4 linked regions of the Schizosaccharomyces pombe genome follow. The protein of the gene in region 4 binds, or shares a complex with, the protein of the main gene of each other region. Each region holds a gene or a part of one and is shown on either strand. Other genes may lie near its edges. The genes, in order: psf1, psf2, sld5 and psf3.

Region 1 (5,565 bases), on a different chromosome or scaffold from region 4:
AGAAGACACATCTTTTCTTAAAAGCTCTAAGACATAGTTTGTTTTCAAATTGGAGTCAATAGACCCGCGTTTTAGTAAGGTGGACAAATTCTTTTTATCAAATGTAAACACTGAAACCTCTTCGTTGGTTCCCTTTTTGGATGCCGAATAAACAGTCCAAGGACCTACTTGGACTGAATTTTCTTTCTGGATATCATAATCATATTTAATTTTTTTGGAATTTGATACTAAACATTCAACGTTAGAATACTTACTTGGGATACGAAATGTATCTAAATAGATTATAGAAATGACGATGAGGATGATCAATTACATAAACATAACTACAATCTTTCATACAGCGCTGATAATCGAGTTTATCAAGGAATATAGCATACCTAGTCGAAGTGCATTGGCTAACATAAGCTGAAAAAGTGGATGGCTTTGGAAAAAAACAACTTAAAACAACAAAAACAAAAAGAAAAAATTATAATTATTTTTGAATCCCTTCGAAGCAAACCAAGTATAAAAATTGAACACCTTTTTTTCGCGGTAGTATACAGTGGAGATGGTAGGAATGAATGGCTTATGGATGAAATTTTTAGGGTCAGTTCAAAAAGCAGTGAAACTCTTATTTGGGAAACAGAGGATTAAATAAAAAGACAATTAATTAAAGATTATAAGAAAGTCGTATTTTTTAGTTTGATAATCATAACTTAGCCAAAAAACCTTGGGCAATGAGTCGTTCAACGTCTGTAGCACGCACATGCAATTGTGAATTTTTAGTAAGGTTAATAGTACCATATTCAGTTTCAATATCTCCAACGTCCTTCAAAACTCGGACGTCTATGAACAAATTTTTAGGAGGAACCAAAGAACCAGTCAAATCCAGCTCGGACCAAGCGCCTTTATAAGCAGCCAAAAGTTCTGAATATCTCGTTAAATAGTCACGCTCATAAGTACTTAGAGATGTATCTAAACAAGATTCCATTCGTTTGCCTCCGCTCCAACAGTATTGACGAAGCCGCTGCAGCCTTAAATTATGGTAAGCCATTAAACATCGCTTATTGTAGATACTAGAAGAATGAAACATCAATAGAGCTGCCGCTTCAGAAGGATGGTCCTGGGGCTGGAAAGGTTGACTAGCCTCATGTGTAACATTTTGAAGAATTCCTAGACTTTCGCGATCTGCTGCACGAATTTCGTTGACAACATCATTAACGGTGTCCGCTTGGTAAGGTGGGAGATAATCTAAATACTGAGTTCGCTTTGAGTCCCGAATTAATTTATTTGATCGATTCCCCAAACCATTCTCCATAGTGATTAGAAGCACTAACTATCACGATATGCTTAAACAGATTTTCCTAATTATGTTTAGTTTAAAAGAAACGGATTAGTATAATTAACAACGACACTCGATAGTTGTTTAAAGCTATATTGAATGGTTGTGGATGACAAGTCGTTGGAAAATGACATGTCTTTCATAAGACCATAATGATGCATTCCTTAGTAGAAATTTTACTGTAAATAAAACATGGATCTTTTATAACAAAATTATTAGTTGAACCTACTATGCGAATTTTTAAGAATTTATTATTTAAACATTCACACAGATTTAAAATGAAGCGTATACTTACTTGGATTACCTCAGTTTCATAAAGTAATGTATACTAATTCAAAGGATTGAATGAGCCCTAAAGGTATCATTAAACCGAGTTCCTCACATCGTCACACATGGAATGAAGAGATGATTTAACGAAGCTTCAAATTATCAACTTACAAATCATTGCTACTAAAATTATAGAAACCAGATAAAGTTTCATTTCAAAATAAAAGAAAGGATATCATTCAATGATTACAATTCTCACGTAATATTCAGAACACAGTACGATGTGCTTGCTTCATCGGACAGGGCTTTAAGGGAATAAAACAATCACATTGATGAGAAATTAGAATCTAAAGGGGTACAATTTAAAACCTATCACTCATATCCAAAAAATGGCAAGGCATATTTAGCTTCAAATAATTGAGCTTTAATGTAGCTTAAAATGATTTTGTCAGTAAGACTTTCTTTTCTGCTTACAACATAAAATCCAATCGATGTATTGGCCGTACTCAAAAAAATCCGCTTTATGTATAATCTGCGGAAGATTACACAAATTCAATAGCATGAATATCACAAAGAGCCAACGAACCAGTCCAGAGTAACAATCTGTTACAAAAACAAAACTTTTGATGCTTATTGATGATAGCAAAATACATGATCCAATATTTTCTCTTCAAATGATAGGTATAAGGACAGGGAAAGAGTCTCATACGTAAAGTAATAATATCTCAATTATTTTTTATTTCAAACGAAAGTTTCCCCTTTTTTTCCACTTAAGGAAAATTCCCTAAAATCCAACGACTTTTAATTAAAGGTTCATTAGAGATTAGTAATTATCATTACACGTATTATTTACATCGTTTTTCGATTAAAGCCAAACGATCAGAACCATGTTCTTCATATTCTTGACGTGATATCCATAATTGATGAAACGTTCCAAGACTACTTAAAATAGATCCACCTAACCATGAAGCATAACTGCGTTCAACAACATGACCGGAAGCATGGATTTTAAGACGGCTGCCAGGATATAATTTTGAAAGTTCATTTTGCAGACGAAGAGAGAATCCTTGCATCAAACTAGTGCCTCCACAAACAATAACATTGTTGAGCAAAGAAGCACGGATATCAACATCGCATTCCGAAATACAGTTCTGGAACAACTGAGGTATCCCCAAAATGCGAGAAGAAGTGTTGGTAACCGAAGAATCTTGTTGTGATACCTCATTATTTTCGGTTTGTTCTATTGGCTTCGAAGGTTCCTCGTTCATTTCTTCATCACTTCCTGGCACAAACAAATGTTCAGGAATTTGATAGCGTTCCGCGCCAAACATCATACGGGAACCGTCTGGAAATTCGAACTCTGATTCAGCAATCGTGGTTTCAGATGAAAATGGAACATCGGAAATGAGAGCACATTCTTCTTTCCATTCATCGTAGACTCGCTGGACCTGAAATTGATGATAAGAATCTGTAGTATCACGAGGACGTAACTCACAATTAGCTGGCTGCCCTATCTCCACTGGATTTTTGCTTTTCACTAAGTACTTAGGCATCACTTCGAAATTCTTATCCCTGAGAGTTTGCGCCAAAATATCGTTAATTGCATTCCCAGAAAAATGTTGAACCTGATAGCCTTTTTGAAGCACAAAACCATCATATATAGCAGACACCGAGCTACGCTCCGCACCAATGTCTACTAAACAAGCAGTACCTTTCCCGCTTGCAAACGCCGCACACGTCTCCTGCTTGGCGAGGTATGTTGCAGGACAACGCAAAGATTCAAACATCGTTTCTAGTGTTTTCACTCGATTTTCTGGGGGATTATCAAATGGTTCCGTAATCAAGATTGGATGCTCTAAAGGATTAGTCTTCAACTGCTGCTCTAATCCATAACGCCAGAGATCTACAGTAACATCCCAATTTTCAACCCAACCATTACGAATTGCATTTTTTATTTCCATTCCAGGGTTTGATTTATATATGTATTCCTCACCGAACAACCGTCTGCCATCACTGAACTCTCCACAGTAGCTAGGGAGTACGCATTTGGGAATATCTTCTCCAGAAAAACCTATTCGAGTCCATTTGCTTCCAGGATCAATTACAATAGCTGAAACTTCATCTCCGCCATAAAATGCGCTAGTCATCTTACCAGCAGTACAGTTTGTCTACGTGATAAGATTCTCAGGCAAAAGTTGTCGTTGGCACTTGGACAAGACGCATCGTTGAGATCATGAAATAGGTCGCCAACGGCTTTTCTTAAAAATACCCATCACTCTTTCCTATTTTATTTAGTTGGTTTAATTAATTAAAAATAAGACTTTCATTTAGAAAAGTGTGCATTCTTTAAGCATTCATGCAACGAGAATGTCGCTAATTTTCAAGCTTTTAATAGACGCGTCAAGTAAACTAGGTTTTCAAAAATAAGCATTCATATGAAAGATTGGGCTCATAGCACAAAAAAAAACAATTGTACAAGAAATCCACAATAGTTGAAAAGATAATTATTATGCTCCTAATAAACAAATTCATTTAGTGATTTTTTGAGTTTTTTGCTATAGTCAGCTACGCAGTTTGGTATATATTTAACGATACATAGAATTACGGTGAGTTTCTCTTACGACTTACAATATAGCGGTATGCAGTATGTTAACTAACAATGTATATTTATTGTTATATGAAGTCTATTAATATCGGTTGCCGAAATAGCGTTACAGCCGAACCTCGTTCCTCAGTTCAGTTATGAGCTATATTAGTGATAGGTAACATTATAACCCAGTTAATACAATACCTATACTCAGTTGCTACTCATACAACCTGTGTATTGTAATATAATAGATCACAAGGAAAACTCACCGCAGTTCTACGTATCCTTAAATCAGATACCAAACTGCGTAGCTTACACACTATACTAAATATCGGTTATCTAATATAGTATAATGAAGCACAAAATACAATTTAGCGTGGGTTTCTGTAATTCGTCATTATGCTGCTCTTAAATGTGAACCATGCGAATAGGTATTTTTTATAATTGAGTGCATAGATTTTCTGTAGTTGAGCTGTTCTTAAAATTATAAGATATCAATTCTCTTTTCTCCATACGAATGTGTGCTCACGAATTTGCATCAGATCTCAACCTCTGATTAATCTGCTTCTTTGAACATTCGATCACTCTTTGGTATCAAGTATCTATTAACCAATATATAATACAATTTAAAGCAAAAAGACATCTAATAATAAACTTTTTCTTGTCAATTATGTCTTAGCCGCTTCTTAATCAAAAAGATAAAAATCAATCAATTTATTATTAGTCCACCTAGACCTACCTTTATAGTTTTCTATATAAGTTTTTTTATTAACTCTTCCCCCAAAACAATAAGTAATTTTATATGCAAAACGTAATCCGAAGCAAAAATCAGAAACCTGTTGCGAAAGAAAACAGAATCAAATGGAACTGAAAATACACACATCACCCATGGCATTTTGTCAGTCCTTTTAAAAAAATTTTTTTTAAAGAAGTTGAAAGCGAATATATTAATTTCAATACTCTTTTCAACACTTTAATCTATTTAACTTCAAGCATCATTTTAATATTCATAGCAGTAAGTTCCGCCGTCAAGTAATTGAAAACACTGGGTAATGCGATCAACGTAGTATTTGTGCCGCCGACAAATTTCTTTCCGCTACCATCCTGCCAAATGTCACTGGTATCTTCCAATCCCAAAGCGGGTTTGGCACAGCTTCTGCACCTGACTTCTGAGGCACTTCCTACGCCATTCATCGAAATTGTAGACATGATAGAAATAATAGACCCACAATCTCGACAAACCCAGCTCTGGGCATAATCAGAACAATTCATTAAACGATCCTGCATCAAGAACGATGTGCCATGACCGATAACAGCATCACGTTCCATTTCACCGAAACGAATACCACCAGCACGTTTGCGACCTTTGACGGGTTGACGAGTAAGATTA
Region 2 (5,946 bases), on a different chromosome or scaffold from region 4:
CATTTTGTGAAACATTAATTATCCCTCAACTCAATATTTTGGTAGCTTCATTCCTAACTGTCATCTTGGAAAGATTCGAATAACACAAAAGAAGAAACAAACACAAAAAAAACAGATTCACGGAACTAATCAAAAGATAGATGGATATGTGCAAAACAAAAGCTTAACAAGTAAACCAATTTCCTTCGTCTATTATAGAGAAATTTTTGAATACCGCTAAATGCAATCGCTTTATAGAAAATTCCTTCTAATATGAGTTGTATCTATCACCACAAATATACAGATAAAAAAATTCTATAACATATGTAAATACCAACTAACTTCACTCTCTTTAAAAAAGCAAAGCTAAAAACCAAAAAAGATACTTATCCAATTATTCTCTTTCCTCCTTCCAAATTTTTAAAAGAAACATTACCATAAGCTCATTTGGCTTGGTACTGCTGTCTGTAAGCATCCATTGCCTTTGATTCAGCTGCAGTTAAGTCTGATTTGGTAAAGTCAACAATGTCGTCCAAAGTAAGGATGGAGGAAACGGGTAAGTTAAGCTCCTTCTTCAATCTACCAATGGTACTTTCGTTTACTTCGGGGTCCAGTCGCTCTTGGCGGTCAAGCAAAAGGACGATACCAGCCAATTTTACGTGCTTAGGTTCTAAGAAGGAAATTGCTTCACGAATGGCAGTTCCAGCGGTAATAACATCATCCAAAAGTAAAACCTTTTTACCTTCCATTTCGGCGCCTACAAGGTTACCTCCTTCACCATGGGACTTGGCCTCTTTGCGGTTATAGGCAAATCCATAGCTCTTTCCAGTTTTTTCATAAAGTTTGACGGCCGTTATAGCAGCCAAAGAGATACCCTTATAAGCAGGACCAAATATGACATCAAAATCAACGTTCATAGCGATAATAGTCTCGGCATAGGCTTCTGCAAGAGCGCATAAATCGGCACCATGAGTGAAATTACCAGAATTGAAGAAGTATGGAGATTTTCTGCCTGATTTTAAGGTGAAAGTTCCAAACTTCAAAACATTATGTTCTAAGGCACGACGCAACAACTCAAGTTTATAAGACATGTTTACTACTAGTTTTGTTGATAAACGTTGATACTCACAAAAGAAAAAAGCTAGTATCACCTTTTCTAAGCTCTACATGGGGGTTATGTGGGGGAATAAACAAAAATCATAACTAAAGAAAAATGCAAGTTTGTAGGCAAACTACTCAATCTATAATCTAATGTGCAAAAGAGAATTAATGTCCTATCAAAATGGACTTTTTTCCTTTTATTAAAAAGTTTGACAAGTGCTTTTGAAGAAGCGAAATAATCTTGTCTCTGATAAAGTGCAATCGTTAACTTCCACTCAATTCAACCATGTTGGCTGAATTTTATCAATAACGCTCATATACTGGTTCACTCGATCCAAATTTCTGACATGTGAGTCTCCAGTCCAGAAAAGTTTCCAAGGTGTTTTGCTTGACTTTAAGGAGCCTACACTTCTTTCAAAGTACCATTTATTGACTGGATTAGTCAGGCGAGAGCGCCATATCAACTCTTTGGGAAATAAATCAGTCATAACATTAAACATAACATCAGATATTGCTGCTGAACCCTGGGCTCCTTGTGAGACGGCAAGCTTATCAAGATAAGGGACCTTTTCATTCGTTGTTCCATCTGGTTGTTCATAAGTTACAATGGCTGTCCCTAAATAGTCCCCTGCAATAATGACTGCAGCTAGCGAATTCTTCAACCTATCTAAATATGCGTCCATATCAAGCGTTCGCTTAAAGGAGTCATTAATTAAAACCCAAAGCCTTTCCCACGAAACGGAGCCATCAGTTAGACATTTCGGACCTAGGAATGTATATACCGGTACACCGCTACGCAAAACAGTTGTTTTCGTAATAGGAGATCGATCGCGCGGCAAGGAACATGAAATAATAGAGCGATCCGTCAAAACATTGTGAATTAACGGATTTTTGTCTAAGACAGGATTTGTAAGCATAGCATCCTCAGGCGTAGTGATTAGAGCAGAGGCATCATCCGGTAACATTTTCAAACAGCGTCTTACCAAAATCAAATTTTTTCTATGATAAGGTGGAAGTGTTTTCGCTAACTCGTCAAACTCTTGAGCCAGATTGATGAGAACATGACTAGAACCAGTTTGTCGTTTAGAACATGGCATGCCACCATTTTTATCAAGAATGACGATTCGGTCTACCCAAAACCCAAAGTTTGGCTTGTGTAACGAGTAAGTTAAACCAGCAAGAACCTCATTACCATCAATTGGAACCTCAATGACGTTGGGCATTAAAATCGAGCTTGGCACTATGACCGTGTAAAGTGAAGACAGCGCTTGAAAAATACCTTGCACATTCTCAACACTAGGGCCTTCAGGGCCCAATTGACATACAGAGGAGTAGCTAGGACGGGTTAACACTCCCGCTTTCGAAAAAATTTCCGAAACTCGAATGACTCTATTTTGCTGTTGCTGTAGCTCCTCAAAGATTGAAAGTTTACGTTTTTTCGCTACGACCGTACCATTCTCCAAATATTTAAAAGGAGATGTCATGCCAATTGGATTGGAAGTGGGAACAATCACTGATTGAATCCCTAAACGTGCCAGGCTATTTATACTTCGACCAATTCCATATAGGGTATTATCACTTAAAGAATCCACATCATCAATTTTGGTAATAGAAATTCTGTTTAAAAACGAACTCGATATTGGCTGAGCGAAGGATTTCTTGTTGGGAGAGCCATCCTTAAGCGAAGAATGTTTTTGCAAAAACCCTTTCGTAGACCTACGAGATTGGACTGATTTCAATATCCAAATAAGGTCTTGTGACAATGAAGGTTTTTGCATTCAAAATTATTACCTTAAAACGAGAAATATAAAAATTTGACAATCATATACCGATGACCTAAGAGCAAGATGTGATTTAGATGAGGGTGACTATTATGAGTCCGAAACCCACCACACAAAAAATTATGCTGTAAGGAATAACAACCAATAAATGCTATAAACGAACTCCAAAATAGAAAAACAAAACTTTAAATAAAAAAAGACATTAAGCCCAAAAACGGTACTATTGATAGGCATTTTTGTACTGTTCGTTGGTGATAGAGATGGCCTTACCAAGGGAACTTGAAATTTCATTCTCACCAGAGGAAATGGAATTTTTAGCTGGCAATGAGTATATTAACATTGTTCCTTCAGAAACAATGGATCAATTGCCGCTAGTTAGCGCGACGATTCCCATTATGAAGCCTCCCAAAAAATGTCGGGTTCCTTTATGGTTGGCTCTTGAGCTAAAAAAGCAAAATTTGGCAAGGATTGTACCTCCGGAATGGATGGAAATAGGCAAACTTGAAAACATACGAGATGATGAATTGGAAAACGAGACATTCTCAGAGTTGCCTTTTCGGTGGCTAGAAACGGCGCATTTATTGTTAAACTTCTGTGCTGATGATATCGAGGATGTTGAGGATATCAGGAGGATTTTGCTGGACATTCGAGAAGCTAGACAAAGTAAAGCAAGAACGGGATTGGAAGCCATTAATGAAGTTCAACTAACTTTGGATAATTTGGGTGCAATGGAAATTAACGAAATACGTCCTATATTTCGAGAGGTGATGGACAGAATGCGCAAAATTGTTCAAGTTTCCCAAGAAGAATGAGTTACTCATCAAAAGTAAAGTGGGAAATAAATGGACTTCACATGAGAATATTTCGGTATCGTGTGGATGATGTACTTTAAAAATAATGATAATGAATCCTACGAAGTGTTTATGAATACCAACTTTGTAGTAGTGAAATTTTATCACAGTAAGCAGTAGATGAGGGTTTCACACTTGCGACTTTGAACTCGATTTGGAAACGGTGGTGCTTTTTGATGAAGAAGAAGAGGAGGATGCCACCGTTTTTGTAGGTTGTCTAGCGGACTTTTGGGAGGAAAGCTCGTCTAGATTATAAAATTCTTTTATTTTTCTGAAATAGTAATTAGCAATTAGTGTTTCCAGTAGTACGTATGGCAAAGTAAAATTTGATATTACACTTACGTTCTCCACGGTGTGGCAGACACATTGCAGGAAAGATGGTTCTTTAGATCGCGCAGATGCATATTTCGTTGAGCGCGAGGAATAGCGGCGATACGCATTTCTCCTCGCATACGAATTGTTGAAGCAAGTAAACTAGCGTTTGAGCGCAAACGTCGTACTTTATCGGAAACTGAAAAATACCCGTTAACACTTTACTACTTCCAGGTACAAAAACTTACGTTCAAATGCTAAATTTTCAAGTATATCGTTCTTGTGTTCTTGGAGAATTCGCTGTCGTACTTGACGATGTTTCGTCTCTCCAAGCTCTTCCACTCTTTTACGCTTGTTCATCATTAAGCATTATAAATTATCAAAAAACAAAACAGATGTTTGCTAACAGCTGATCAAAAGACGGTACTTCTGGGTGCGCTGAAAAGGTGGTGGGAATAAGAGTTGTTGTATAAACAATAAATCTTCAACTAATATGTAAGTAACATCGTTACCTAATACTCAATATGTAAACAAACGTTAGAAAGGAGAGGATTGCACAAAAAAGCGTACCCAAAAGATATTTTATAAATTGAAAGAAGAATAATGACCTAGAATTAGAAAAAAGCAGCAAGTTTACAAAATAAAAGCGTTGAAACACATCACTTTAAAAGGTACATAAGAATTGATGATGCTTACTTCTAAGTAAATTATTAATAATATCAAATAAAAAAATATTGTACGAGGTAAAAGTCTCCCTCTTCAACTACATCGCATACAACATTGAAAACTGTTTAAAAAAGATATTTGGTATAACGTGTTCCAGTGCCATACGCTACAATGCAACCTCTGTTGTATTATATTTCGACTGTTAGCTTTTTTTTAACCCAATTCATAAGAAAATAGTTATGCCATTCAGTTAGTGACATTATCATATGTGTACATAAGATTATATATTCGTTTGTGACAAAATGCACTGCAAGCCGTCCTCACTATTTGCAATCCTGGAAAGATCGACAATAATCGTTATACACATTTACCGATATGTAAAGAATAGCTGCTTACCATTGGTAGTCGCTAGCGCCTGCGGAGTTACAAACCACCTAAACCAACCAACCGACCAACGAGACGAATATACCGTAACGAGCAGAATTTTGATTCCTGAGATCCTCCCAATAGTTAGAGCAATTGAAATAAGAATAGTCATTTTCCAATGAATCCATATGAGCCGGTCGAGGGGCTTTACGTGAATGCAAAGCAATACCATCGAATTTTGAAACGTAGAGAAGCTCGCGCAAAGTTAGAAGAGAGATTGCGTGGTGTGCAGACTACGAAAAAACCATATTTACATGAATCAAGGCATAAGCATGCTATGCGACGACCTCGTGGTCCTGGTGGCCGATTCTTGACTGCTGACAAAGTATCAAAATTGAGAGCGCAGGAAGCTGCAGAGGCAGCTGCTAATGGAGGAAGTACAGGAGACGATGTTAATGCCACAAATGCCAATGATGCCACCGTGCCTGCAACCGTTTCTTCTGAAGTGACTCACACGTCTGAAGGATATGCGGATAGCAATGATTCAAGACCTAGCTCTATCTCCAACTCGTCTGAGTCTCCAGCTCCTATCAATTCTGCCACAGCATCTATGTCTCCTGCTAACAATACTTCTGGAAACAACATTACTTCTCCAAATGTCAGAGGCGAGCTAGACATGAGTGGTAATATTGCCATGTCGGGTGGGCCCACTAATACCGCTTCCACCTCGGGGCCAGTGCCTCATGATATGACAGTGCTCCCACAGACCGACTCAAACACATCGAATCTTATGTCCAGTGGTTCTCAACTAGGCAGTTTTGCTACAGCTTCTACCAATGGCAACAACTCTACTACTACTACTACTTCGTCAGCTGCTCATCCAGGGTCAT
Region 3 (5,549 bases), on a different chromosome or scaffold from region 4:
GTTTTATCTTTCAACTGTCTATTAAATAAACTTGTTTTTGTGACTAATCTACACTTGTTTATTCATATCATCTACTTAAGAGAATGTACTGAGTACAGAAAATGCTTATCGCAGTCTAACGATGTTTTGTAATTTTGCAAAGTGTATATGACCTTGATGGTATATATCTTTAGTCTCTAGTGGGGTAAAAGTTCTCAAACGGGGGCCAAATTGTATTATTACTTTGGAAGTAGTATCTTGCTGTACAAAAGTATAAAAAAAGTCTCACATATTACCTTTACCACCAAATATCTAGACTTGCCAAATGGAGCAATTTTCGTAAAATAATACAACAGATATAACTTGCTATTCCTTTAATTATTATTACCTTTACGTTCAAAAGACAATCCATTTGTACTGAATGGCTGATCCACTATACTCTTCGTTGAAAACTGTCAATTCAACTTCTAAAGTGACACCCGAATCCCTGGTATTTCAAACAAAAATCCTAACACCTGAAGAGGCAAAAAATGTTATAAACGAAAAAATTGCTTTCAAACCGCTTTTACTTGTCCCTTCTCTAAACTTAGAAAAACAAGGAGATCGAAAAGAGTCGGTTGCTTCAAAGAAAAGGAAAAAGTTGTCTTCAAAGGAGAAAAAAAAGCTGCAATTAAATGTTGTTCCAAAGATTGCTGACTATAGCCAATTCAAACATTTACATTCCATGTGGTGCTCTTACATATTAGAAGTGATAGCAGGATGCACAGGTGAATCTTTAATGGCCAAATTAGCAAAAGCAGAATATCAAGGTGCATATATGCAAGTTCTTCGGAGTAAAAGTACTACGCGAGTCGGACTTGAAGGTATTTGTATCCACGAAAGTAAACATATGCTCTCTTTAATTACTAAAGAAAACAGGGTTGTTCGTAAGTACCATTTTCAAAACATTGTATTTTGAAAAATATCTTTGCTGAGTAACTTTTTACTAATTCGTCTAGGTGTTCCCAAACAAGATTCTGTTATGAAAGTTATCGTTGATGTTCCCCAAAGGAAACTTGTTTTTGAATTGTATACTCAACATTTACTATTGAGAGCAGGTGATAGATCGAATAAGCGTTTTAAATCGAAAAATACAATAGATCTCTGAAAGTTGTTAATTACGTGATTCTCTTAGAGAATCGTACTTGCGATTGATTGAAATGGAATACTAGAGTGGTTTCTTTTTATTAGTGTATATATATTGGCAATTTCGTACAAATACTTAATATTGCTTACAGAGCACGCAGTGTAGACAATAACTTGTTCATACTTGGCAATATTGTATGTTTGCTGTATATTGTAGAGCTTAAACGACGCCAGTCTCTAAAATACTTTCAGAGCACAGATCTTTTTCCATTGTATTTATTGATCCAACATTTTAATACTAATTTTCGTTTACTGAATTTCTAAAGTATAAGTGATAAATCGCGCCTTTATGCAATTCTTCGCTATAAGATTATAGCCTTCGATTTTTTGATTCACGGGCAATAATATAAGATGTTACTGAAGTGTACGATAACTAAGACAAGTGAATGGAATGCATAGGATAAAACGAAGATTATGTCAAAGTCGTTTAAGAGCAAGATATGCTTTTGGGATTTTTGTTTGAAAAGGGACGTAAGTAACTTGTTACCTCTGCAATTGGACTGATTTAAGTGCTATGTAAACTACTAACATATCTTGAGTAAAAGCTTGTAGCTTTACAACAAGGTCTCATTTGCCTTCGTGATTTGAGCATCCTTGTATATTTTTTATGGATGGAGTGGGATGCTGATGATTTGCTAATAGAACCGACAACAGAAGTGGAGAATGATTATGAGGATTTATGTACTCAATGGGTGAATGAGCGAATGGCTCCGGATTTGTTGCCTTTTGCTGAAGAAATTGTAAGCAGAGTTCTTGATAGAATTGAAGCACAACGAGAAACTCTACAATTGGCCATTGGAACAAGTAGTGCAACTAGTTATAGGAGCGTACTAATGCAAACCGAACTTGAGCGAGTGAAGTTTGTTTTACGCTCGTATATGCGAACTCGAATCAATAAAATTGACAAATATGCTCAATACATTCAATCACATCCTAATTTATTGTTGTATTTGTCATCTCCAGAACGTCAATATCTTTTAAGGCACCAGCAAATAGTACATCGTCATTACATGGATTCATTTTTACGAGAAGTTCCTGCAAAAATGAATAAACTTGATGATAAGGTCGGAAATTTATCAATGGTAGCATCACCTGATATGGATACTGCCGTGTTTTGTGTGGTCAACGAGTCAGTCGAAGAAAACTTTCGAGTTTCAGAAAATGAGTATATAACTCTCGACAAGGGAGATGTTTTGATTCTTCGGTACTCTGTTATTTCTGATTACCTTCGACTTGGTGTTGTCTCACTAATATAATCCCGGCTATTAATTAATTACTACAATATTTCACAGGCTGTAGGTTGTACTGGATTGTTATTTAAAGTTGAATTTTCGCATGTAAATGTATAATTTGATCAACAATACAATATCATTATCTCTATTTTATAAGCTTCAAAAAGGTATAAATGATTTATCTAACTGATGTGATCAGTTTCAACAGTTTGGCAACCATATTTTCAATCAGGCATTCATATTAGTTAACGGTTGGAATAGAAAATGTTGTTCGCCAATGTTGAATGTAATATTTACATTTTCTAAACCATCCGGGGAATTGCGAAGGCGATCAATAACATCGTCTAAAAGAATTGCTCGTCCTACAGCAGAGCCGTCTCCAGTTTCATGGTCAACATGCAATATATGTACATGTAAGTGGTAGTAGGAAGGTAAATCTAGAGGAATGTCAGTAAACTATTTTGCTTTTAAATTATAACATACAATGGACAAACATCTTTAACTGATTTTTATCTACGGAAAATTGTTTTGGGACTTCTGTCAAGACTTTATTTCGAATGTTTTCTAAAAGAGGAATATGCTTATATTTCAAATCACGAATACTTGCAATATCCGTTGCGTGAACAATAGCCATTAAATTCAGAGCAGACATAGTTTGGCGATCCCACTTTCTAATTTTTGTTAGTAAACTTACAAAAGAACTTATATATGGTAAAACATGCACCCAAGTACCAGGGATGACTATTGCTGATAGATACAATTGGCATGCATTTAAAGGATGCAACTAATAAACCATTTTGAGTTATTCTTACAGATCAGGAATGACAATAAATCCATTCAGGGGATCCGGATCCTCAACGACAATACGCTCGGCCTCAGCTTTATGAGTAAGGATGTTTTCAACCCATTGAATTTGAGGACCTCTTTGAGTTTCAATAAACGGCTTAGTGACTTTTAGATACATTTCCGGCGTTTCACACACCATTCTCTTTTTTTGAGAAGAATATTTTCGTACATGCTACATACGGTTAATAGAGAGGAAAAATTGGTATTTTCTTACAGTCTCAGAAGCCGGCCAAATTAGTGTGGACTTCACAGAGGGCAATGTAGAACAATCTTGAAAATTAGTGCTTAGAAACCAATGAAAAACATCATTGTTTTCTACGAGTTTAGTATCTTGTAGAAATGTTGCCAGTTGGTCAAGCTTTATCGTGTTCAAATCGAAAGCTGTTTTTTCGAGCAAAAGTAATGCTACTTCGTTTCTGATTTTTCCGTACAAGGTTATTATTTTGCTTTTGGTATCATCTTTTAAAATTTTTTCGAATTTAAATTCTTTAAGCAGTTGTATTTTCGCGGCAGAACTTTCTTCCATTTTAAATTTGTCTCTTCTTGGGTATAAAATATTTAAACGTCCGTTATGTCTTACCGATAGAAGTAAAAAAATCCAAAAAGATTGAGAGGTACAACAGCTTTTGAGATGCTGAGACTAAAGAGCTTGTTGCAAGGCTTTAATAGGTTGATTCTACTACATAATATTTCACTTACAACAAAAAACTAAATAGTATTCGTAAGGTTAAAGGGAAACACGCCTTCTTATATAGTACCTAAAACAAATACAAATTATAACTATCAAATAATTTACTCTAAGTCTTAAAATCAAAATTTTTTTTTCTGTCAGACACCGCTACATAGAATCTTAATATCGTAGTGACCTAAAAAATTACAAAACAAACCGGTAATATCACATGCCTAGAGTTACTTCAAAATGTATATTGAGAATTTAAAATTGTGAAATAATTAATATATAACACAAACATTAAATCTATAAAGTAGTTATTTTCAATACTTATAAAGCTATATAAACATCTTTTCGTACGCGGTTGCTATTTATTCTAGTAAGACACAACTCGTACAACCTTTTAGACATTGACCAACCCGAATTGAAACCGAACCCTTATTCACAATTAGCATTTGTCTATACCTAATTGTTTATTTTCTCGTTTACGTTTATTATTTACAGGTGTTATATTTTTTTTAGTAAAGTTTAAAGGTTTTTTTTCCTTTTTTTAAGAATCATCTTTTCCTGTTAAATTCGCCTTTTGGGGAAGGAGGGTTAAGGTTAAAAGTTACGAATATGCAAACCCTTCTTTTCTACTTTTTTTTTATAAACTTGATTTTTGCCCACGATCTCAATGTGAAGACATACAAAGTAGGTGGTTTTGTTGCCATCAAATAATTGTTGATAACTGGGATTTTTGCATTATTTGGTTACTAACTTATGTATTAGCCTTGTACAATTCCTTCCGTATTCTCTGAACAATTTACTTCTGAAGACATCACAACCTGGCGCTCTCGATGGCGTGCTCCAGTGAACAAAGATTTGGGGGTTTGGGACTTGGTTGAAGCACCAGGCTCCCACTTAAGAGATGAATATGGTTTAATTACTTTGAAAAGTAATAAACCTCATATTCTTATAAGTAACCTAGAAAATCCTACTACTCGACAATCGTCATCAGTACCAATTGTATTATCATTTCAAGTTAAGCCAACTAAGCCGTGGACCTGTGGACACGCTTATGTTAGTTTGGTACACCAATCAAACCCAAAGAATGTTTCAAAAGAGCCTCCGTCGGTGATCAGATTTGGCGTGAAAAAGTGCGGCATGTTTGACTACATTTCATTGTCTATAATTAGCTATGATGGTAAAGTTTCCTGTCATCTGTATGATGCACCGCCTTCTGGATTGGTTGAAGGAAGAACCAGTATGTATACTCTTTTGTTGCAGAATACAACCGTAGTTATACGAAGAGATCAATCTGTTGTTTATACAGGAGATGTAGGGACGAATTTTTTCCACTCGCCAACAAAATGGATCACTCATAGTAACGTTTCGAATGGATACTATACAAGTAGAAACATCATGTCCTTTCTTCTATCAAATAACACCAACACGTCGTCATATCCATTTAGTGTTAATGGCGTAGAATTGGATGTTTGGAACGAGAACGCTGGCGTGTTTATAAACAATATATACTTCGGATTTTCTTTATCGGATGCTATGAAATTTGAGAACGAAACTTTTATCGCAAAAAAAATACTTGAAAACAGCCCTTGTCCCAATCAACCTAGTATCCAACCATTTGGGATATTAAT
Region 4 (5,761 bases):
TTAGAGCTTCACTAAATGCTTCGGAAGATTCCCTTGGCAATAAAGTAGGAAGATGATCAATAGAAATGACCTCTAAAGGAGGAGGAGTTGTGACACCTTTAACCTCAACTGTAGGATGATCAAATGTAGTGTTTACATTATAAATTGGAATAGGATTGTTAGGATTGGTAGTGTCACAGCTAACATCACAAACAACACGCAATTTACGGTTAGGTACATTTAACGACTCGACGGTACAGAATTTGGGAATAGGCATGCTCAGATAAATGCAGTTAACAAATATGTCTGATTCCGTAATTTCGGTAAAGGGACCACCCTTCTTAGTTTCATTAATGTCCCAGCGAAGAATGTTATCGAAGGGAATACCAATCTTTGATGCTAAATCGCACGCTCCAGTACCACAACGACCAAGAGCCCCAATAACCAGAATACGAGGATACTGGTTGTTATTCTTTTTCAAAGCTAAACGTACTTGACGAGCAACATGGCGAACCAAAGATTTTTCGTTGGGGAACGGACGGATAGCAGGGAATTGTTTGTTAGGATGCAATAATTGATGTGCCCAAACTAAACATGAGATAGCTGATCCAGCAAAACCAGCGTGGTAACCAAAAGCGGCAACACGTCTGCCATTGTCATCTTGCAAAAATTCCAAATCATATAGAAGACCATTGCCAGCGGGGAATCGGGACAAGACTTCACGCCAACCTTCCTGGTTTTTGTAGCAATGAGCAAATTGAATATGAGTATGCTTCAAAGGACTGTTATCATTTTCCGGAAGCTCTTTGAGACCAATAATGTACGCGTCCTTAGGTGCATGTCGCCATGAGCCCTCAGGAACCATGGGGAAACCAAGGCGCTCAAATTCTTTGTCCTTGAAAGCACGTTGGGAAGAGCGCTCAATGGTAATTTGAAATCCAGCATCGGCGAGTATCTTGGCAGTTCTAGGAGTCAAAGCACTGCGCTCTTCTAAAGGTTTGGTTTCAGCACGTAACCAAAGATGAGGAGCAACCATTTTGGAACAGAAAATTAATTAAATATATATTTTTAAATCGAAAAAGTATTTCAACGTTTTTAAAAACTTCCCTTTCTAAGTTAGTCAAAAAAATTTAAACTAACAAAATGAAGACGTGGCGAAGGAGACCAAAAACTTAATCAAATAAGTTTATATACTGCAAATTGGCAAAATAATATAGATCAATCTCGATATAAATGAGATCAAATTTGATGCGGTCAATTTACAGATCAGCAATGATATGAGCAGAAGGGATCTTGATGGATCTAATACGCTACACAGGTTCAGTGGCAGTCACGTTAGCTACCTATCCTAGGCACAATTCACTTGATTTTTACTAGTATGCTTTTAAATAATGAATAATTTTAAAGAAAATGATGAAAAAAGCACTTTTGGTCAGTATGCGGAACTAGATAAAATACTCGACTTGAAAAAAGGGATTCCTGAGGATCCGTGTAGTTTACAGTATTACTTTGACCAAATGGCCATGTGTTTAACAGTGTTCTCACAAATGAATCATTACTATCGTTATGGTGAATACAACAGATGTAAGGGAAATTTTAAAGACTTTAAATGGTGTCTGTCAACCAAGTCGAAGGCTCACGAAGAGGCTCAAGAAGGGCTTCGTAAGCGGCGTCTTCAGCAGTGGATGAAGTTTAGGCAAGGGCCGAATAGTGAAGACATTTGGAAGATGCGTACTTCTCCAAAAAGTAGTGAATAAGTTTTTAACGTTTCGTGCTGTGTTCACCAAACGTCGATATCAATTCTTACGAAGGCATCCATTTGTTGCGTATAACATTGGGGGAATAGCATATTTGATGATGTCTTGGATGTAAAGTTCCTGTATATCCTAGTCTGCTTAACCTTTGAAACTAATTGTTTATAGTTGGCGGGGTACTTCTATTTAATTTACCTTCCAAGTAAACTCTGAGTTCTCTTTAATTTTATGAGTAACTAATTAAACGAACAACAAATTGTTGCTTTGATTTTACAACATTGTTTGGCAGCAGGTTGATTATTTACTCAGGTAAAGATTGCTGATAAACTCGAAGGTGTTGACATCTAAAGTATGGATTAAAGCGTATATGACTTGATGAACCTGTTGATGAAACTTGGCGAATAACTTATGAAATTTGGCCTATGTCGGTGTTAAAACCTTTTTGCATTTGGAAATGACATACTAAATAATTAATACGCAAAATAATTTTGAATACAATGCAATCATGTTTTGTAGATTACGGACTAAAAATCATTTAAAAAAATCAGTTTTACGGAAAGATTGTGTAAATTTTGATCGCATAATGAGCAAGTTTCATAAATAGGTATAACATTCAAACAAGCATATGCGTTTCTTTAATGAAACTATAGAACAAAGTTTCCTTTTTTTAATAAAATTTTTCGACCAATTTCAGAAGGACGAATATACACATGTATGACATACTTTTCGAGTTAAACATTGAAGCAAATTTTTAGTACTCGAACATACAATATTTATCAGCACTAATTTTTTGAACTAGATGCTCTGTTAAGAAAAGTAAAAATAAATCTTTTTTATCTCTATTTTTTTTGTTGATTAGTACTGGTGTAATTACAGTTCATTATTTATCCACTATATCTTAGCCAACTCAAATTTGAATTTATCGTTGCATCTACCTACTTTTACCTTGTAACTGCAACTTTTCTAAATGAACATATTTTGATAAAATAACAATAACACTTCTATCATTCCTTCTGCTCAGACATTAAAAAAATGGATTACTATGATATTGATAGTATCTTGTCTGAAAATCAAAAGGTTCCATGTACTAGTACAGTTTCCATTCCAGGACTAGGCCATGAAGGGCGTATGGTTAGTGAAGTTTATAAAAATAGAACTTGACTTTCTAAACAGTTTAGGTTCCTACGGGCTCTAAAGTTGAACTTCCTTTTTGGCTGGCAGAGGTTTTAGCAATTAAGTAAGTAAAGTTTTTTTTTTTTTTTGGTTTTTTCTGCATGTTACATTATATACATGTAATGTCTTATAGAAAATTGGATAATTTTGCTTATTTGCTTACTTTATAGTTCTTTTGTTAGTATTCATATGCCAGCACCATTTTCTTCTGTAGTACGAAATGCATTAAAGGCGAATCCTAATAGTGTATCTATTCGGGACATAACCACACATTATTACCATTTTGCCGAGAAAATGCTCCATTTGTAAGTCAAACTTTACACGTTTTTCTCAAATTCAAAATCTTACTAACTCATTGTAGAATATCAGACGACAGCTTGGTTCAAATTTCCCTAAACACTTTACGTTCCAGAGCAATGCTGATTGCAGATGCGTCCCTGAATCCTCAAGGTGCTTTACAACAAAACTCACAATTCATTGAGGGTTTGGATGACTTTGAGAAACACAGTATGTTCATTCTAGCCTTTAAAAGATTCAGTAGCTAACAAAAGCTCGTGCTGCCACAGTATTGAGAGTATCACATAATGCCCATCGATCCCTAATAAACTGGCAAAATTCCACTTCGTAGTTGATTGCATGCTGCGAGACGAAATTGCTACCCAGAATAGCACGCTAATCTATATGTGAAACACTAAATGAGTGTTGATCGTAAATCCCTTCTGTTCAAAGAAAAAAGAAAAGAATCCTTAACATATACTTGTTCAATATTACGTTTACTTACAAAATTAGCTTTTGTTTGTCAGATTGACATTTTCATTTATGATTAACTTTATAAAAACTCTAGAAGATTCAAACTATAGAACTAAAAAATGTTAATAAACGAACCGACACTAAAAATTAGAGGTCGATATATAAAGTACATTCAGAAAAAGCGCCTTGTCACAGGCAATCTTCGTCAATGTAGAAACTACGTAGACCGTCGTGATTAAAGTAAAAACATCATGTGAACTAAAATTCGACCTCAAGCTGATCTACTTACCTATACAAAACAGCCTCCTTAACTTCAGTGTATCTAACTAGTTTAAGGTCTTGCAAATACGTTAGAAAAGTTGTTTTAACACGAAAACTTAGGACATGGAAATATATAACTTTAGGTTGTCTATAATCAGACGCATTTCACTTCTTCAAAACCAATGGCATCAGACATATGCTTGTCTTTGAAATTTAATAAATCATCCTAATAATACCCTAAAGTACATATTTGAAGTCTAGTTTTCAATTAAGTTTTGGATACCTTTCATGAATAACCTATAATTATGTTAGTAAAATATTGGCATAGATTTAGGTTAAAAATTTGTTCTCTCAGTTAGCATGAATGGAATTTTAAGAGTCTTTTCTTCATATTGAATCAGACTCGTCATCTAATTATTCCTCATTGAGAACAATTTTTCTCATATCACATACAAACTAAAAGGTATGTATTAAATCCATGATTAAATGATTTAAATACTATAATATCAATATGCTAGACTGCTTCAGTTAACTAATGATGTTAATAATAGGAAAATCCCATAAAAAAAGTTGTGATATTGTAATGGATCAGCATAATTGCAGCACATTTATTCTTCAGCGGAATAGGAGTAAACTATTCCTAGGCCGGTAATTCCAAAAAAAAGTTTTTTTCATCTTTTCCAACACAACATAAACAATTCTTTCAAACACTTACATTTGACTTTTAAGAAAGAAATTTATTGCAAAGTTTAAACTGTATCATAACTAAATTATGTTAGCATAAGTGTTGAAATAACCAAAATACAGAAGGAAACAACTAAACTCAGCAAGAATTTGAAATCATAAATTAATCAGAAACTCTAGTTTGTATTTTAAAAAATGGTCATCAAAGATCAGGAGATTCCATCTGTGGTTATAGACACATACCATTTATTAAAGATACTCAAGTTAGGATTTTAATCTAAGCTTTGTAGTTGGTAAAAATTTGGTTTAGATGCAAGAGAGTCACAGCTTATATAGAAATTTTGTTTAGCAAAAAAGTAGTCCCAACTAACAACGCCGTATACTGGCATAAGGTAATACAGTACAATACATTATCATTTAATCCTTTTTGATAATATAAAAAAATGTATTTTAATCTAGCATGCTTAGTATTTACTACTAAAATCACGAACTATACAGACAGTTTCTGGAAAAGTAAATTAAATGCTCGTGACAGAAAATCAGATTTTATTAAAAGGATGAATTTTATGAAGGTGTACACCAATATGAACGCTTGCAACGAAAAGCGAATATAAAGATTGTTTTAATAGAATTCATATGAATGCTAAAAAGAAATGAGAGCGGATAGACGATTTCGCACCATCAAAAAGTAAGGTCTTACTGCGAAATATAAAACACTTTTGTAAATAAAGGCCCGTAAGAACAATGTGTAAAGATGTAGATTTTCATTTAACTTTGGAATTAGTGGGTATGTTATAGTAAAGACTTGATTAAGTAAATTAAGGATCACCGGCGGAAGTAATACAACATTCAATGCGCTATTTAGAAAACCAAGATAAACTCAACTGCATACAAGTATTAATTTACATTTGAAAGAAAAATTTTCAAAAGAAAGCAAAGTCAAAAAATTTTGGAAAAAAAACAATGGTCTGTTAACGCTTGGCTGTTACCATAAATCAGATGTCACATCACTTCAATAAAATAAAAAGCTCCAGATTTGAATAATTATTTTTTGAAGGCATTTCAAAACTATTCGCGAAATGATTTCAAAGATTTTTGAAACAAGTCCACTAACCAATTTGAGGAGATTGGTTCTTCAGAGTTATCGTTCATTGAAGTCT

The links.
Region 1: psf3 (region 4) and psf1 share a complex: the UniProt entries of both Schizosaccharomyces pombe proteins name them as parts of the GINS complex.
Region 2: psf3 (region 4) and psf2 share a complex: the UniProt entries of both Schizosaccharomyces pombe proteins name them as parts of the GINS complex.
Region 3: psf3 (region 4) and sld5 share a complex: the UniProt entries of both Schizosaccharomyces pombe proteins name them as parts of the GINS complex.

The regions. Positions count from the first base shown.
Region 1 is NC_003423.3:2,011,232-2,016,796, reverse strand, and holds psf1 (GINS complex subunit Psf1), read right to left. Parts: upstream 1,436-5,565; 5' UTR 1,298-1,435; coding exon 689-1,297; 3' UTR 501-688; downstream 1-500. Other genes in the region: serine/threonine protein kinase Ppk32, read right to left, coding at 1-227, 378-402; alp5 (Ino80, NuA4 and Swr1 complex actin-like protein Arp4), read right to left, coding at 2,434-3,735; DNA-directed RNA polymerase I complex subunit Rpa2, read right to left, coding at 5,154-5,565. UniProt on the Schizosaccharomyces pombe protein: The GINS complex plays an essential role in the initiation of DNA replication.
Region 2 is NC_003423.3:1,226,203-1,232,148, reverse strand, and holds psf2 (GINS complex subunit Psf2), read left to right. Parts: upstream 1-2,961; 5' UTR 2,962-3,121; coding exon 3,122-3,673; 3' UTR 3,674-3,841; coding exon of another isoform or gene 3,842-3,983; 3' UTR 3,984-4,001; downstream 4,002-5,946. Other genes in the region: orotate phosphoribosyltransferase Ura5, read right to left, coding at 423-1,070; acetylglutamate synthase Arg6, read right to left, coding at 1,356-2,858; nbl1 (borealin N terminal domain-containing protein), read right to left, coding at 3,842-3,983, 4,055-4,223, 4,273-4,387; CCAAT-binding factor complex subunit Php2, read left to right, coding at 5,235-5,946. UniProt on the Schizosaccharomyces pombe protein: The GINS complex plays an essential role in the initiation of DNA replication. Has a role in chromosome segregation and is required for bir1 localization.
Region 3 is NC_003423.3:2,910,447-2,915,995, reverse strand, and holds sld5 (GINS complex subunit Sld5), read left to right. Parts: upstream 1-1,700; 5' UTR 1,701-1,775; coding exon 1,776-2,420; 3' UTR 2,421-2,524; downstream 2,525-5,549. Other genes in the region: pop4 (Rnase P/MRP subunit), read left to right, coding at 401-905, 978-1,126; nhm1 (m7G(5')pppN diphosphatase), read right to left, coding at 2,625-2,833, 2,880-3,067, 3,209-3,414, 3,457-3,768; SPOM_SPBP4H10.19C (calreticulin/calnexin-like protein), read left to right, coding at 4,531-4,605, 4,684-5,549. UniProt on the Schizosaccharomyces pombe protein: The GINS complex plays an essential role in the initiation of DNA replication. Has a role in chromosome segregation and is required for bir1 localization.
Region 4 is NC_003424.3:525,776-531,536, reverse strand, and holds psf3 (GINS complex subunit Psf3), read left to right. Parts: upstream 1-2,660; 5' UTR 2,661-2,765; coding exon 2,766-2,864; intron 2,865-2,911; coding exon 2,912-2,970; intron 2,971-2,995; exon of another isoform or gene 2,996-3,076; coding exon 3,077-3,211; exon of another isoform or gene 3,212-3,267; coding exon 3,268-3,413; exon of another isoform or gene 3,414-3,472; coding exon 3,473-3,534; 3' UTR 3,535-3,755; downstream 3,756-5,761. Other genes in the region: saccharopine dehydrogenase Lys3, read right to left, coding at 1-1,015; SPOM_SPAC227.17C (uncharacterized protein), read left to right, coding at 1,371-1,736; protein phosphatase regulatory subunit Reg1, read right to left, coding at 5,670-5,761. UniProt on the Schizosaccharomyces pombe protein: The GINS complex plays an essential role in the initiation of DNA replication.